3 linked regions of the Callithrix jacchus genome follow. The protein of the gene in region 3 interacts with the protein of the main gene of each other region in a pairwise test. Links are inferred from orthologs where the notes say so. Each region holds a gene or a part of one and is shown on either strand. Other genes may lie near its edges.

Region 1 (4,628 bases), on a different chromosome or scaffold from region 3:
CCCTCTGATAAGGGAAATATTTAATTAAAAAATATGGCTGGGCATGGTGGCTCATGCCTGTAATCCCAGCACTTTGGGAGGCTAGGGTAGGATGATCACTTGAGGTTGGGAGTTTGAGACCAGCCTGGCCAACATGGTGAAACCCTGTCTCCACTAAAAATACAAAAATTAGCCAGACATGGTGGCTGGTGCCTGTAGTCCCAACTACTTGGGCAGCTGAGAGGCAAGAGAATCACTTGAACCTGGGGGGTGGAGGTTGCAGTGAGCTGGTATCACACCACTGCACTCCAGCCTAGGTGACAAGAGCAAAACTCCATCTCAAAAAAAAAAAAGAGATGATCTTGCTCTGTGGTCCAGGCTGGAGTTAAATGACATAATTGTGGCTCACTGAAGCCTCCAACTCCCAAGTGATCCTCCCACCTCAGCCTCCCAAAGTGCTGGGATTATAGTCGTGAGCCACCGCGCCCAGCCCTGATAAAGGAGATAAATTAACAGGGGACTTGGATGAGGCTGATGTCCAGGAGGACTTCCTCGAGGAGTTGATGTCTAAGCTGAGATCTACAGGAGGTCAAGGACTTTATGACACAAAGAGGGAAGTGACTGATGTTCCTGGCAGGGGCACGGAATGTACAAAGGCTTGGGGGTGGGAGAGATGATTTCAAGAGCTGCATTAAGGCCAGGCACACTGACTCATGCCTGTAATCCCAGCACTTTGGGAGGCCGAGGCAGGCAGAACATGTGAGACCAGGAGCTCGAGACCAGCCTGGCCAACATGGTGAAACCCCATCTCTACAAAGAATACAAAAATTAGCTAGATGTGGTGGTGCATGCCTGTAATCCCAGCTACTCAGGAGGCTGAGGCAGGAGGATTGCTTGAACCCAGGAGGCAGAGGTTGCAGTGAGCCAAGATCGCACCATTGCACTCCAGCCTGGGCAACAGAGCAAGACTCCATCTCAGGGAAAAAAAAAAAAAAAAGCGTGGACTCTGAGGATTCTTGAAGCCACTCTTTAAGCAGAGAACAAACATGTTCAGAAGTGGAAAAAAGAAAGGCTTCAGGGAAGAGGCTGGTACCAAAATCTAGGAGGTGAGGTACAGACTGGGGCAATTGCCAGGGGGAGAGGACGGACTAGGGACAGACCTTCGGTGGGAAGGAGGAGACGCACTTGTGAGTGGAAGATGCTGTACCCTTTCGGGCTTATTGGGCTCATACTCTCACAGAAAGAAACCCTTTGGCTGGACATGATGGTTCATGTCTGTAATCCCAGCATTTTGGGAGGATCACTTGAGACCCAGTATTCGAGGCTGTGGTGAGTTATAATCACACCACTGCACTCCAGCTTGGTGACAGAGCAAGACCCTAACTCGAAAGACAGAGAGAGAGAGAGAGAGAGAGAGAGAGAAAGGAAAGAAGGAAAGAAAGAAAAAGAAGGAAGGAAGGAAAGAAAGAGAAAGAAAGAAAAGAGAGAGAGAGAGAGAGAGAAAAATGGGCATGTGGCTCACGCCTGTAATCCCAGCACTTTGGGAGGCCAAGGTGGGCGGATCATCTGAGGTCAGGAGTTTGAGATCAGCCTCACCAACATGGAGAAAACCATCTTTACTAAAAATACAAAATTAGCTGGGTGTGGTGGTGCACGCCTGTAATCCCAGCTACTCGGGAGGCTGAGGCAGGAGAATCACTTGAACCTGGGAGGCGGAGGTTGCAGTGAGCTGAGATCGTGCCATTGCACTTATTTCAGCCTGGGCAACAGAGCGAAACTCCGTTTCAAAAAAAAGGAAAGAGGCTGGGTGTGGTGGCTTATCCCTGCAATCTGGGTGCTTAGAGAGGCAGAGGTGGGAGGATCACTTGGGCCCAGGAGTTTGAGATCTGCCTGGGTGACACAGAGAGACTCAGAAGGAAGGAAGGCAGGGAGGGAGGAAAACCTCATAGCACAGGTGTGAGTTTGACATAAAGCTTAATCATGCGACTTGCTTCTTGGTGCAGAAGTGGAAACTGAGGCTCAGAAAGGGCTGTGATAAGGCCAGGTGTAGTGGCTCACGTCTATAATGCCAGCACTTTGGGAGGCCAAGGCAGTCAAGAGTTTGGGACCAGCCTGATCAACATGGCGAAACCCCATCTCTACTAAAAACACAAAAATTAGCTGGACGTCGTGGCGTGTGCCTGTAGTCCCAGCTACTTAGGAGGTTGAGGCAGAAGAATCACTTGAACTGGGGAGGCAGAGGTTGCAGTGAGCCAAGACCATGCCACTGTACTCCAGCCTGGGCGACAGAGCAAGACTCTGCCTCAAAAAAAAAAACAAAAAAAAAAACCACAACTGCAATTGACCAGGGCTATGTTCCTGTTAGCAGCTACTGCCGGGTTCAGGCAGGGCAGCTCACCTGGTACCACCCCTCCTCGCCCCCGCTGCTGTCACCTCCACTGCTGTCTCCACCACTGCTGTTTGCCCCACCAGCCCGGAGCTCTGCCCATTCCCAGCGCAGCTGCTCCAGCAGAAGCGCGTGAGCTGGGCCCAGGGCTCGGAGGGCGGCCTCTCGAAGCTCTAGGCCCCGCTTCTCACGTCGCACCAGCTGCAGCCGAAGCATCAGGTCCGCCAGGGTCTCCTGCGGGACCAAGGGGAGGACAGAGAATTTATGCTTCTGGGGTCAACTGCAAGGAAACTGAGGCCCCAAGAGGCACCCACTGAGGACTAATCAGGCAAAAACTGTAGCCTTTGGCCAGGTGCGGTGGCTCACACCTGTAATCCCAGCACTTTGGGAGGGCGAGGTGGGTGGATCACCTGAGGTCAGGAGTTCGAGACCAGCCTGGCCAACATGGTGAAACCCCATCTCTACTGAATATACAAAAATTAGCCAGGTGTGGTGGTGCGAGCCTGTAATCCCAGCTACCCAGGAGGCTGAGGCAGGAGAATCACTTGAACTCGGTGGGGTGGGGGGATGTCGGAGGCTGCAGTGAGCCGAGATAGCACCATTGCACTCCAGCCAGGGCGAGAGCAAGACTCTGTCTCAAAAAAGAACAAACAAAAAACTGGGACCTTTCGCATGTTCTTGTGAGGTAGAAATATATTCCTCCTATAAAAGCTACAGCTGGAGAAATGGCATTTTCTAGAGGTGAGTAGCTTATATAGGTCAAATAGCAATTATGTCAAAGTTTCTAGGTCTCTCCAACTCCAGAACCTCCAGTTTTCATGCCAAGCTCCAAACCCAAGATTGTGTTCTTTGCTCCCATCTCTTTCCATAGGAAGGCCATTTTGGAGAAGCAGATTTGCAGTCTAATGAGAAACTGAACCCCAGAAGACAAACTCCTATTCATCCTTCAAAACCCCACCTCCAATTCTCCCTCACAATGCCTGCACCCAGTCCAGCAGAATTTTCCTTTGCTCCTTGGCCCCCCAACCACAGGACCTCAGTAAAGGATTTTGTCCCACCAGGAGAGACTGACACAGTGGCCACAGCCCTTTGTACCCTTGTGGCCAACAGATCCTGTTGAATTTGTGTCTTCTCCAGCCGGGGCAGAGCTGGGCCAGGCTGGGTCCCCAGAATGGCCTGCACCATGACTTCTGCACGGGGCAGAGTGGGGATGGGTGCCAAGGTGGGGCCAGGCTCTGAGAGAATCTTCACTTGAGCACAACGCTCCTGGAGACGCTGGACATAGCTTCGGAGCTGGAAAGCCACTTCCTCTGTGGGCTTATCCACACTGCTGCCCTCAGGGCTACAGAAAACAGAAGAGGTGCCTGTGTCAACACTGGCAATTGTAAGTGGGCTAATGTCATGCCAACCCTGGTAGGGTCCATCATCTTCCACCTCACTGGCCACAATGGAGCCTCCATCATCTGTGGTGGCCCCTGTCACACTGACATGGTGGGCACCATAATATGAACCCCACTCGGCACCGCCTTCCATCAGGGTCACATGTGGTCAGGTGCAGTGACGCAGGCGTGTAACCCCAGCACTTTGGGAGGCTGAGGCGGGAGGACTGCTTGAAGCCAGAAGTTTGAGACCAGCCTACGCAACAGAGTGAGAATCCATCTTGATAAAAAATTAGCTGGTCTTCAGTGAGGATGTGTGTTAATAAAAATAAAAAAATAGCTGGACATGGTGTTACATACCTGCAGTCTCAGCTACTTGAGGGGCGGAAAGCAGGAGACTGAATGAGACCAGGAGTTTGAGGCTGCAGTGAGCTATGATGGCACCACTGTATTGCAGCCTGGGTGACAGAGCAAGACCCTGTCTCCAACAAAATGTTAAAAAGAAACAAGCAGGCCGGGCGCGGCGGCTCATGCCTATAAGCACTTTGGGAGGCCGAGGCAGGTGGATCACAAGGTTAAGAGATCGAGACCATTCTGGCCAACAAGGTGAAACCCCGTCTCTATTAAAAATACAAAAATTAGCTGGGCATGGTGGCACGTGCCTGTAATCCCAGCTACTCAGGAGGCTGAGGCAGGAGAATTGCCTGAACCCAGGAGGCGGAGGTTGCGGTGAGCCGAGACCGCACCATTGCACTCCAGCCTGGGTAACAAGAGCGAAACTCCGTCTCAAAAAAGAAACAAGCAAACAAAAAAGAACGTGGTGAGCCGGGCACGGTGGCTCACGCCTGTAATCTCAGCGCTTTGGGAGGCCGAGGCGGGTGGAT
Region 2 (4,655 bases), on a different chromosome or scaffold from region 3:
AACCTTGTCCCAAACTTCTTGCTACTCCCTTTTTGTTCACTAGGCTCCTGCCAGCCATGTTCCCACCTCAGGGTGGGTCTTTGCACTGACTGCCTCCCACCCCCACCCAAAGAGCTTCAGGGCCTGCCCCCTGATACTTGATCTGGGGCTGTCATGACACCTTCTCATATATGAGGAGCACTTCCCACCTCTTTGCTCGTTAACCCCCCTTGCCCTACTTTTTTTCTCTTAAACAGAGTTACCACAGCCCCACTCGGTATCTCATTGTGTCTATTCCCAGTCTCACCCACCCACAACATGAGCCCTGTGAGGGCCCCACACAGCACCTGCTTGCAGTAGGTACTCAGTAGATCTGTGTTGCATGAAAGCAGCAGAGACACAAGGCTGGCAGCCACCCACCTCTGCCTGCTCTGTCAACTAAACCCCCTTTCTCCCTGCAGTGGGAAGCCTAGAGCCCCAAGTTGAGGTCCTGATTAACCGGATTAATGAGATCCAGCAAGGTGAGTTCAGGGGCCTTGGCTGCCAGCTAGGACCAGCTACATGGTTTGTGGGGCTCAGTGCCAAATGAGGAGTGCAGGGTCCCTTGTCCAAAGTTACTGGCTGTTCACAACAGCAACAGCAGAGCCTTAAATTAAGTACAGGACATTTCTGCATGCAGCTGCCATAGTCATATGCCCATGATCCTGGCCCTGCTATCAGCAGAGCCTGGCAAGAAAAGCCTGCACTCTGGAAGCCTCGTTTCCTACTCTATAAAATCTAGGCGACTGTAGGGTTACCTGAAGGCAAATGAGAAATGTCACTGTTGGCAAGAGAATTGTGCAGCTGGAGGCTGCACTCATTCAATGTCTTTCCGATCTTTGATGAAGCAAAAAAGAAGGTCAATGAAGACGTAGGAGAGGCCCGGACCATCTCTGAAGCCCTGCAGAAGGAACTGGACTCGCGTAAGGGAGTCGGGTCACCCAGAGGTCCCCACAGTGTCTGAAGCCTCCCCTAACCCTGTATTCCAGATGATCAGCATCCTTGCTGTGGCCAAGGGTCCTGTGCCCTCTCCTGCCTCATGTCCTGCCAATCTCCCCCTCTCCTCTGCTTGTGATAGTGTTCAGGAAGCACCCTCCAACCTTACTCCCACCTCAGGGCTTTTGCCAGGTGCTGCCTGTACTTCCATGGATAATACAGGTTCCTCTTTCCTCATGTCATCAGCTCTGAGTTAGAATGTCCCCAGAGAAGATGACTGGCATTCCCCAGACATCCCATCTAGAGATGGCGCCCTGCCTCCATCTGGTCATGTGCCCCTCCCTATTCGATGTGTTTCTTCATAGCCCTTAATCTCACTTCATGGGTGTTTGTATTTTTTCTCCTCCCCACGTAAAAGCATGGGCATCCTGCAGGGCCCTCACAGCAACCCTCTGTAAATGTGAAGGCCCTTTGGTACTTACAGGGAATGTGGGCACCAGAGGATAGGGAGGGGCTCACCTTGAGGGGTTCACATTTGGGTTGGGGGCAAGGCTGTGCCCAACTTCCCATGTGACTGTGAGCAAGCTCCATCCCTGAGGATACAGTGCATAGTCCCTGATGCCCAAAATACATCACTGTTTTCCAGTGCATGGAGAGAAAGTACGCCTGAAGGAGATCTTGAGCAAAAAGCAAGGTATCTGCAGCTCCCCTCTCTCCAGGCTTATGCCTTTGCCACCCCACAGAAGCCCACTCTCCCTATGGCAGCTGAAGCCTTTTAAAGCTTGCCTCTCTCCTGTAGCTTCCACCAGACTTGCAGTAAATTTTAAAGCTCAATCAGGTGTCCATAGACCTGATGTGATCTGGCCCCATTCCCCCTACCACAACCCAGTACCCTGACAGCTTCTCATAGGGCCCTGTTGCTCTCCCTGTAGAGACCCTGAGGAACCTCCGGCTGTACTGCCAGGAGAAGGAAAGTGAGGCACAGAGGTAAGAGCTTCCAGCTGAGCCTAACTCTGCCCCACCTCTTTATTCTGGTAGAGCAGAAAGAGGCAGGAAGATGAGTGTAAGGCCCACAGCTCTCATTCTGTCCCTCTAAACAATGGAGTGTCCAAAAAGTCTTTCCCCCTCGGCTCCAACAGCAGGCAGTGGTGTTAAGGGTAACTCTCTCAATGGTATAGACACTCAATTGCCAAATTATTAATTAAATTTCTTCAGCTGGTTTTTGTTCTTTTCCTTTTACTCTTTGTCATACTCCTTGGCTGTCTATTCACTCATCTGTTCATTTAGGCATTGAACCAACCACTTGTCCATTGTCTCTCCATCCATTATCTTTTTATCCACCCAATTATTTGTCCATCCATTTCTCCACTTCCTGAATGCTTATTTAGCTTATTTTCTTACCAGAGGCCCCAGGCCCTGGCACACTGAGTTTTCAGCTCTTTGGGGAAACCAGATGATATGTGTGTGCATTTGCTCACTTGACCATGTCTGCACTGATCTCTCTTAACCTGACAACAGTACTTACAGGGGGCAAATGCTCACATTACTCCCTACCCATCACATGTTACAGAGAAGGACCTTAATGTAGGAGGGAAAAAATAGCCTCAATAGAGGGAGGCAGAAGCCCCAGCCAAGAACCCTCCTGGGGCTTAAGAGAACATGGCTGAGGACTGCCTTGCCTCTCCCAGGAAGCATACCATGTTGCAGGAGTGCAAAGAGAGAATTTCTGCTCTGAATGTACAGATCGAAGAAGAGAAGAAAAAACAGAGACAGCTGAGGTAAACCTTAGCACCTGAGGCAGGGGATTTGGATGCCTGGTAGTCAGGGTATAATATAAAAGATGGGGGTTAGAAGAGCTGGCTACACTGAGCCTTGGAGGGTTAGGATGGTGAAGATGCTCCCAGTGGAGCAAGGCCATGGGCAAAGCACCCCAAGGTCTGTGCCAGAAGACCCACAGACGTGGACAGGCTGCAAAGGTGATGATCTCAGCCCATATCCCTTCATGCCTGTGGTTGGCCCCCAGGTTGGCTTTCGAGGAACAGCTGGAAGATCTGATGGGCCAACACAAGGACCTCTGGGACTTCCACGTGAGTCCCTCAAAGCCACTTCTCCCACTTCCACATCTTCCCTAGCAGTACCAGGCCCAAAGGGTCACTGCTTCCTCTCACCTGCCACATCCAGTCCCTGAACAAGCCCTGGTGGTGCTAAGACCAACATTGCCCGGATCCAGTCCCTTGTCACCACCCTCATGGCCCTGCTACCCTCCAGGGTCCACTCAGTGGTCAGGGGGATCTCTGATCAAACTAAGGTCAAGTCTTCCATCAATGTCCATGGATATGTCTGGGACCATCACGGTCACAAGGGAGACAGTGAGGATAAGCAGCCAGTGTTTGCCCCCCAGGAGGATCCCAGGCACTGAACAAGAAAATAGACAGTGAGTGTTAGAAGGGAAGGGCTCAGTGACGAGGCCCCAGCAGGATGGAGGGGCGTGGGGAGGAGCTGCAGAGCCGAACTGGTACCTGATCCTACAGAAAACAGCAAAGACTCATAGTGTTTGCAGGTTTATCTGTTGTAAATAACAATCCATGAGCCTCCCCACTGCAGCTCTCCAGGGATGTAGGATGACAGAGTGCACAGGGAGGGAATGACCAGTGCCATGGGCCTGAGGTTTTCTGTGGCTAGTATGCACAGAGAGGCAGAGTTGTTGGAAGTGAGGCATGGTGAGCAAGTACAAAACAAGATCCAGAAAGCCTTCTTCGAGGCATGGGAGAAAGCCAAGAGGTGTGGACAGACCTCTTTTCTGCCCGCCCCAGAAGCCGGAGCAGCTAGCAAGAGAGATCTGCACCCTGGACAGCAGCAAGGAGCAGCTGCTCAAGGAAGGTGAGGCCAGGGAAGGTGGATGGCCCTTCTGACCTCACATACCCTCATGTGCTCACCTGTCCCTTTGTGCTGCAGAGAAGCTGGTCGAGGCAAAGCTGGAAGATGTGAAGCAACAGCTGTGCTCCCTGTGTGGTGCTGAGGGCGCCTCCACCCTTGATGAGGGGCTCTTTCTCCGTAGCCAGGAGGCAGCAGCCACAGTGTAAGATGTGGAGGTGAAGGGGGGGAGGAGGGAGTGGCCAGTGCTAACCACCCCCTCCTTGGCACCCCAGGCAGCTGTTTCAGGAAGAGCACATGAAGGCTGAGGAGCTCCTAGCAGCTGCAGCCCAGCACCACCAGCAGCTGCAGCAAAAGTGCCAGCAACTGCAGCAGAAGCGGCAGAGGTGTGTGTGGAGGCCCTGTCCCCTCAACCCCCACCAGGAAAGTGACCAATGTCGTTTCTCCTCCCTCAACCTTCTATTTCTCTGACTCTTGAAAATCTCTTGTCCCCCTTTCCTTTTCTTCCTTCCCCCATCCTACCTCTTCCTGTCCAGGCTGAAGGAGGAGCTAGAAAAGCATGGAACACAGGTCCCTGCCCAAGCCCAGAGCACACAAGAGGAAGAGGCTGGCCCAGGAGATGTGGTAAGCCCCAGACCTGGGTGGCAGGGAACAGAGACAGCTACTGAAGGGATGGGGAAGGGCAGGAGGACAAGGAAGGGTGTCATGGGACTCCTCAGAGGATGGTCTGTGGGGAGAGGCTTTCCCATAGGCTGTCCACCCAAGGTGGTGATGGGGTAGGAGGCGACCGCGTGGCCATGGGGGTGAGTGTAGATTCCCATCCTGAG
Region 3 (5,440 bases):
GCTGCCTCTGACCCCCAAGAGAGGTGAAGGCAGTACTTTGTGAAAGGCCTGGGCTGGAAGGTGGCCTTTAGGAAAAAAAAAGGAGGTGGGGGCCCGGGTGGGGGCCTCCTGCAGCTCCGCGAGGACAGATTGATGGAAAAAATCATGAGTATTTCTCAATTACGAAGGGTTTTTTTGTTCTTCTTGATGGAATAGAGCTTAATATGGCTGAAAGCCTGGGCTGTGCAATATAGAAATAGTAACTCCGGCCATGCGCGGTGGCTCACACCTGTAATCCCAGCACCTTGGAAGGCAGAGGGGGCAGATCACCTGAGGTCAGGAGTTTGAGACCAGCCTGGCCAACACGGTGAAACCCCGTCTCCATTAAAAATACAAAAATATTAGCCAGGCATGGTGGCAGGCCCCTGTAATCCCAGCTACTTGGGGCTGAGGCAGCAGAATTGCTTGAACCCAAGAGGCAGAGGTTGCAGTGAGCCAAGATCATGCCATTGCACTCCAGCCTGGGTGACAGAAGGAGACTCCATCTCAAAAAAAAAAAAAGAAATAATAACTCCATTTTATTGATTGTTCTGACTCTATCTTCAAGTCCATGTTTTTTTAAAAAAAGAAGAAAAAAGAGACCATTTCTCATACCCAAGATCTCGTTTATAGTCACTTAAGAGGAAAGGGAGCCATGTGGGAGCCTGATCCTCAGTGACAGAGGGTGCGTGTCTTGGCGCATGGCTGTGCTGCTCTCACAGGATTTTAGAGCTTCCTAGTCTGTACTCTGCTTGTAGGCAGGAGCCAGGCATCTTATTTATCTATGGATTTGCTAGAATATCCAAGCATGATTACACCCATTTGTAGATAATGAAACTGAGGCCCAGAGAAGTCAGTAAGTTGCAACAGCCCTTGTAGCTCTCTGGAGCCAGAGCAAGTCAGTATCTATAGAGTATAAACTAAGTTTTTGTGGCCCTACTTTTTGACCTAGAAATCGGGACACCTGGTTTCTCCTGACAAGTCTGTCTGGCACCTGAGTGCAAGCGATTGTCCAGCAGATGCTGACATAGTAGAGTATCCAGGGATGTTCTGGTGGTTGTTAGGGCACAATGTTTGGAAACAGGACAGTTGTGAAGAATCCTGGAGGAATGGCTGCCTCTTTGATTTGACAGGCGTTCAGGGCCTGGACTGTTCAAAGATGGAGCAGCCCAGATGGAGGCAAGCGGAACAGCAGCACCGGGGGAGAGCCTGAGAGGACAGTGCTGTTTATCATGTGCTCTGTGCTGTCAGTGAGCACTGACAGCATTGCAGGAGAAGCATCCTGGGATGAAGCAGGAGGCAGGAGGGGCAAATGGGGAGTCCCTGTGTGCACCTGCTCAGCATCCCCCCAGCTACACACAAATAACATTTTGTGACCTCCTCTTGGGAGGCTGCATGCTGGACTCTAGGGGCCAAGGGTCTGAGTTGGTAGTCCCTGGTGGGTTAGAGACTGATTTTGCTCAGAGGGATCCCAAGGCCAGCATCTGGAGAGAAAGGGGAGGAGAGAAGCCAGCCATCCACAGAGAGACCAGCTGAGAAGTATAATGCTGGCTGGAGTCCCAGCATTAGAACCACAGGCTGCAGGCCAGACATGATGGATGAGCTCCAGGCTCTGCAGAAATCACCCTGGAGAGTGGGAAAAGCAGGGCTGACCAAGCAGGGGAGAAAGATTAAACCTGGGCATCCTTCCCTGTCCAGTAAGATAGCCATTAGCTACCTGTGGCTATTTACATTTAAATTAATGAAAATTAGATAAAATAAAAATACAATTCCTCAGTCTCAGCCACATTTCAAGTGCTTGATAGCCATATATGGCTAGTGGCTGCCAGATTGGACAGTGCAGATATAAGATATTAATATTTCCATCATGCAGAAAGTTCTACTTGAATGTAAATTATTTCATTAATATATTTTGTATTGATTACATGTTGAAATAACATTCTGGACATATGGAGTTAAATAGGCTATAATATTAACTTCACCTGTTTCTTTTTACTTGTTTTACCGTGGGCAATAGAAGCTTGTCAATTACCGATGTACCGATTTCTATTGAACAGCGTGGTTGCAGGTGGATACAGGAACACGCCTCCATTTATTCATTGTTTTTAATACCATGTCCATCTGATGGTATTTGATTGGATAATGGCTGTAAAAATCCTTTCTCAACAGTAAAGGTCGCTGAGGCAGCCCAGGGTAATTGGGCAAATGTGACTTTGGAGACACAAAAATTCAGGTTCACATCTCATCTCCATCCCTCCTCTAGCTTTGAAGTCTTGGGCAAATTACATGCCTCAGTTTCTCATCTCAAAAATGTAATCAATGAATGATCCACTGCATATCATTTATTTGAAGGGTACAGAAGATAGTGAATAGTACACGTACGGGGCTAGCATGGGCTCCTAGTAAACCTCGGTAAAAAGTGGCATTGTTGTTATGATTAGCATTTTAAGTGTGAAAGTGTAGGGGTTATGGTCAGTTTTTCTGGCCTGAGAAAGACCAGAAAAACCCTACCCCCTGCCTTCAGCAGCCCCTCCCAGCCTTCTGCAAAGCCCTTGGCACAGCCTGGACACTTACCTGCTGGCAGCTGCTGGCCCAGGAGGCCCGAAGGGCACCCCAGTTTCCCGAGCGCGTGGCCTTGCTCTCCAGGTGCATCCGAAGTTGTGTTTCCAGTTCCTGACTGACTTGCTCAAGGGCATGCACTTTGGCCATATATTCCACCAGGCAGCCCCCTAGGTCCTCAACAGCACCATGGTCCCGCTCCAAACCTGGAGCCGGCATTGTGGCCAGGCCTGAGCTCCGCAGGCCCTGAAGGAAGACACTGCTGATGCCGAGGGCCCGGCGGGTCACACGGGCACCCAGGCCACCTATGCACCCACTGGGTGCTGTTCCTACATAGACCCCAGGTACTCGGATAAGGCCACTCATGGCATTGGTCCTGGAGGCTGGGGGGCTATCCAGGGAGGATGATGACCGCGGCCCCCTGAAGGATGCCCTGTGCCTCTGCAGGGGCATGCTGGAGCTGGCACTGGTGGGCAAGTCCACTACTACTTGCCTCTCACTCATCACCCCTTCTGCCTCTGTGGTGCCCAAGTGGGTTTACAGAGTCCAGTGGCTGTTGGTTTACAGCCCCAGCATCCCTGTGGCCTGGTCACGGGCCTCTCTGGAATCTCCCCTATCCCCGGGGCTGCTTTGTCTGCTGTCTTCCATGAGTTTCCATCATTCACTGAGCTGAAAGAGAAATGGGCACTGGCCAGGGCTGCGTGCAGAGAGGCACTCATGCATTCTTTGATGTAGGGTCATGTGCCCAACCTCCCAGATTTTTCTGCTGGTGGTGGGGGAGGCTGGATCAGTGCAGGCTGTGGGGATAGATCATCTGGGTTCGTGCACTTTATTACCTAAGAGTGGGCAAGGCAGGCATCAAGCAACCCCATTCTACAGACGAATAAACTGAGGCTCAATGACCTCAGATCACAAGTGATCACTTGTCCCAGAGCTCACATTACAAGCTAGGACTCAATCCAGCTATTTCAGGGCTAATTTCAGTGGTTTCTACATCCCTATGTGTGCTGGCACATGTGAATGTGAACACATGTCCACACAAGAAGTAGAGGACGAAAAACGGCAGGACGCAGCCCCAGGGACCCAAGAGAAAAGCCCCTGCTTGTGGTTTCCTTCCCCCTCTCTCAGTCCTGGCAGCAGCTTCAGGTCCTTCCCTTGCCTCTCTCCTTCCTTCGTCATCTCTGTCCTCAGATTCTCTGTTCATCAGCTGCTTGTTGTTGGCCAGGATACTTCCTCCCTCTGGACCTCACTTTCTGAACATCAGCCTGAGCCTCTAACTCTCTGATGTGCCAGATAAGGACCTTGGGCAAATTCAGGCCCCACACATTATGTTCTGGCCATTCTCTCCACCTCTGCTTCTCTATCTGTTGGAAAACTGATACATAAAAACGACAAAGAGAGCATTTTCTGGCAAGCTCTCCAAGGGTGCTTCAAGTTAGGTATGAGGACACCCCTGGGTTTTAACTTTTGATCTTGGCATCCACTAAGCCATCAAGGGTCACACCTCAATCAGTTCTCTAGGATCAGAAAGGTTCCTCAAGTTCCAGGATGACAACACGGGCCTAAAAATCTCTGTATTTAAGTTTTAGCCTGGAGAAATCAGGTCACCAAACCCCAGAGCTGGATATTTTTCGAGATGCTGTAATGTAGGAACGTACCTCAGGTGAGAGAAGGAGAAGGGAGCCAACCTCTAGTGAGTGCCAAATCCAGCCTGCTGTGTGCATGAATCCTGTAGTTTACTTCATGGAATTCTCAACCCAGCCTTAGAAGGAAGGAGGTCCAGGGTTGACAAGTGCTGCCTACGGGCTGTGCACCTCACAGCTCCAAAGTACCATATCACGTGTCCTACGGTTGGCCACTATTTTCTTACGTGAGGAGGACCCTGAGAGCTGCAATGACTGGTCCAAGGTCCCAGGTCCAGAAGGTAGAGCTGGGGGGAGACAGCCTCTTCCAACCTCTGGGCCAGTGACTTACTTAGGAGCCTCCATGGTGCCCACCACCCAGAGAGCACAAAGTCACACAGGTAAAGTTAAAAACCTGGTCTACTACTAGAAGATCTGTGTGTACTTGCTTCCTGCTGACCAGGATGCTCCAACCCTTCCTTTCTTTATTGTCTTTCACTTTGTCCATTTGACATGGCCTAGGCGGTATTTTATAAATATCGATGTTGGCTATTTGATGAACAGATGAAAGAACCAATTGGATTAAGTAAAAGCCAGTAGTGTCCTTGTTTATTCAGATATAGCATTAATGCTGTGAACACCAGCCCTGAGACACCCAGAAGGGGCATGAGAGGCTGTGTTAAAGTAACAGCCTCCTGTGCAGGTGACGCTGACTTGGTTCTGAGGATCTGCGTTATTGTGAATTCCAAGATGTATTGTCCAAGGCTGAATGAGAGGTTCAAGCTACTGATTTAAGTTATGCACAAATATGTCATGTTTAGGCATTGTTATTCTCCACAGAACGATAACACTCAATGGCCAGGTTAACTTCAGACATCTCTGGGCCAAAGATATTTACTATATAAATCCACTCAGCCCTGGAGATGGGGAGAATGGTGGGGGGATGTACTTTAATTGACACTGCTGTCTCCAAAGACCTGATGAAAGATGACTCTCGTTTGGAGAAATTGCAAACATGTTCAAAAAGATTTATTTTATCAAATGCTAAACTGCTAATCCTATTAGCTCATCATGTACATAAAACTCACCTGTTAAATCAGATTAAAAAATACGGATGGATGTAAAGTGGCATTGGTACTGCTTAAGGAAGACTTAGAAGTTATCTTAAAATGAAAAGAATGCAAAATGCATTAGCAACGGAATCCTCTGGCTAACAAAATAAGTTTATTTATATATACATG

Evidence for each region. The genes of interacting proteins can lie anywhere in the genome.
Region 1: the proteins of BFSP2 (region 3) and USHBP1 interact in binary tests that used the Homo sapiens proteins (3 or more experiments, as listed by UniProt). The two-hybrid records come from large-scale screens. The link is inferred for Callithrix jacchus from reciprocal best matches to the Homo sapiens genes BFSP2 and USHBP1.
Region 2: the proteins of BFSP2 (region 3) and SYCE1 interact in binary tests that used the Homo sapiens proteins (3 or more experiments, as listed by UniProt). The two-hybrid records come from large-scale screens. The link is inferred for Callithrix jacchus from reciprocal best matches to the Homo sapiens genes BFSP2 and SYCE1.

What each region holds. Positions count from the first base shown.
Region 1 is NC_133523.1:15,853,804-15,858,431, forward strand, and holds part of USHBP1 (harmonin-binding protein USHBP1), read right to left. Parts: intron 3,708-4,628; coding exon 3,461-3,707; intron 2,600-3,460; coding exon 2,378-2,599; intron 1-2,377.
Region 2 is NC_133513.1:126,881,091-126,885,745, reverse strand, and holds part of SYCE1 (synaptonemal complex central element protein 1), read left to right. Parts: intron 1-440; coding exon 441-500; intron 501-866; coding exon 867-941; intron 942-1,600; coding exon 1,601-1,648; intron 1,649-1,886; coding exon 1,887-1,941; intron 1,942-2,642; coding exon 2,643-2,732; intron 2,733-2,977; coding exon 2,978-3,041; intron 3,042-3,767; coding exon 3,768-3,834; intron 3,835-3,909; coding exon 3,910-4,033; intron 4,034-4,103; coding exon 4,104-4,214; intron 4,215-4,364; coding exon 4,365-4,469; intron 4,470-4,523; coding exon 4,524-4,528; intron 4,529-4,655. UniProt on the Homo sapiens protein: Major component of the transverse central element of synaptonemal complexes (SCS), formed between homologous chromosomes during meiotic prophase. Requires SYCP1 in order to be incorporated into the central element.
Region 3 is NC_133518.1:50,728,586-50,734,025, forward strand, and holds the start of BFSP2 (phakinin), read right to left. Parts: upstream 3,092-5,440; 5' UTR 3,082-3,091; coding exon 2,593-3,081; intron 1-2,592.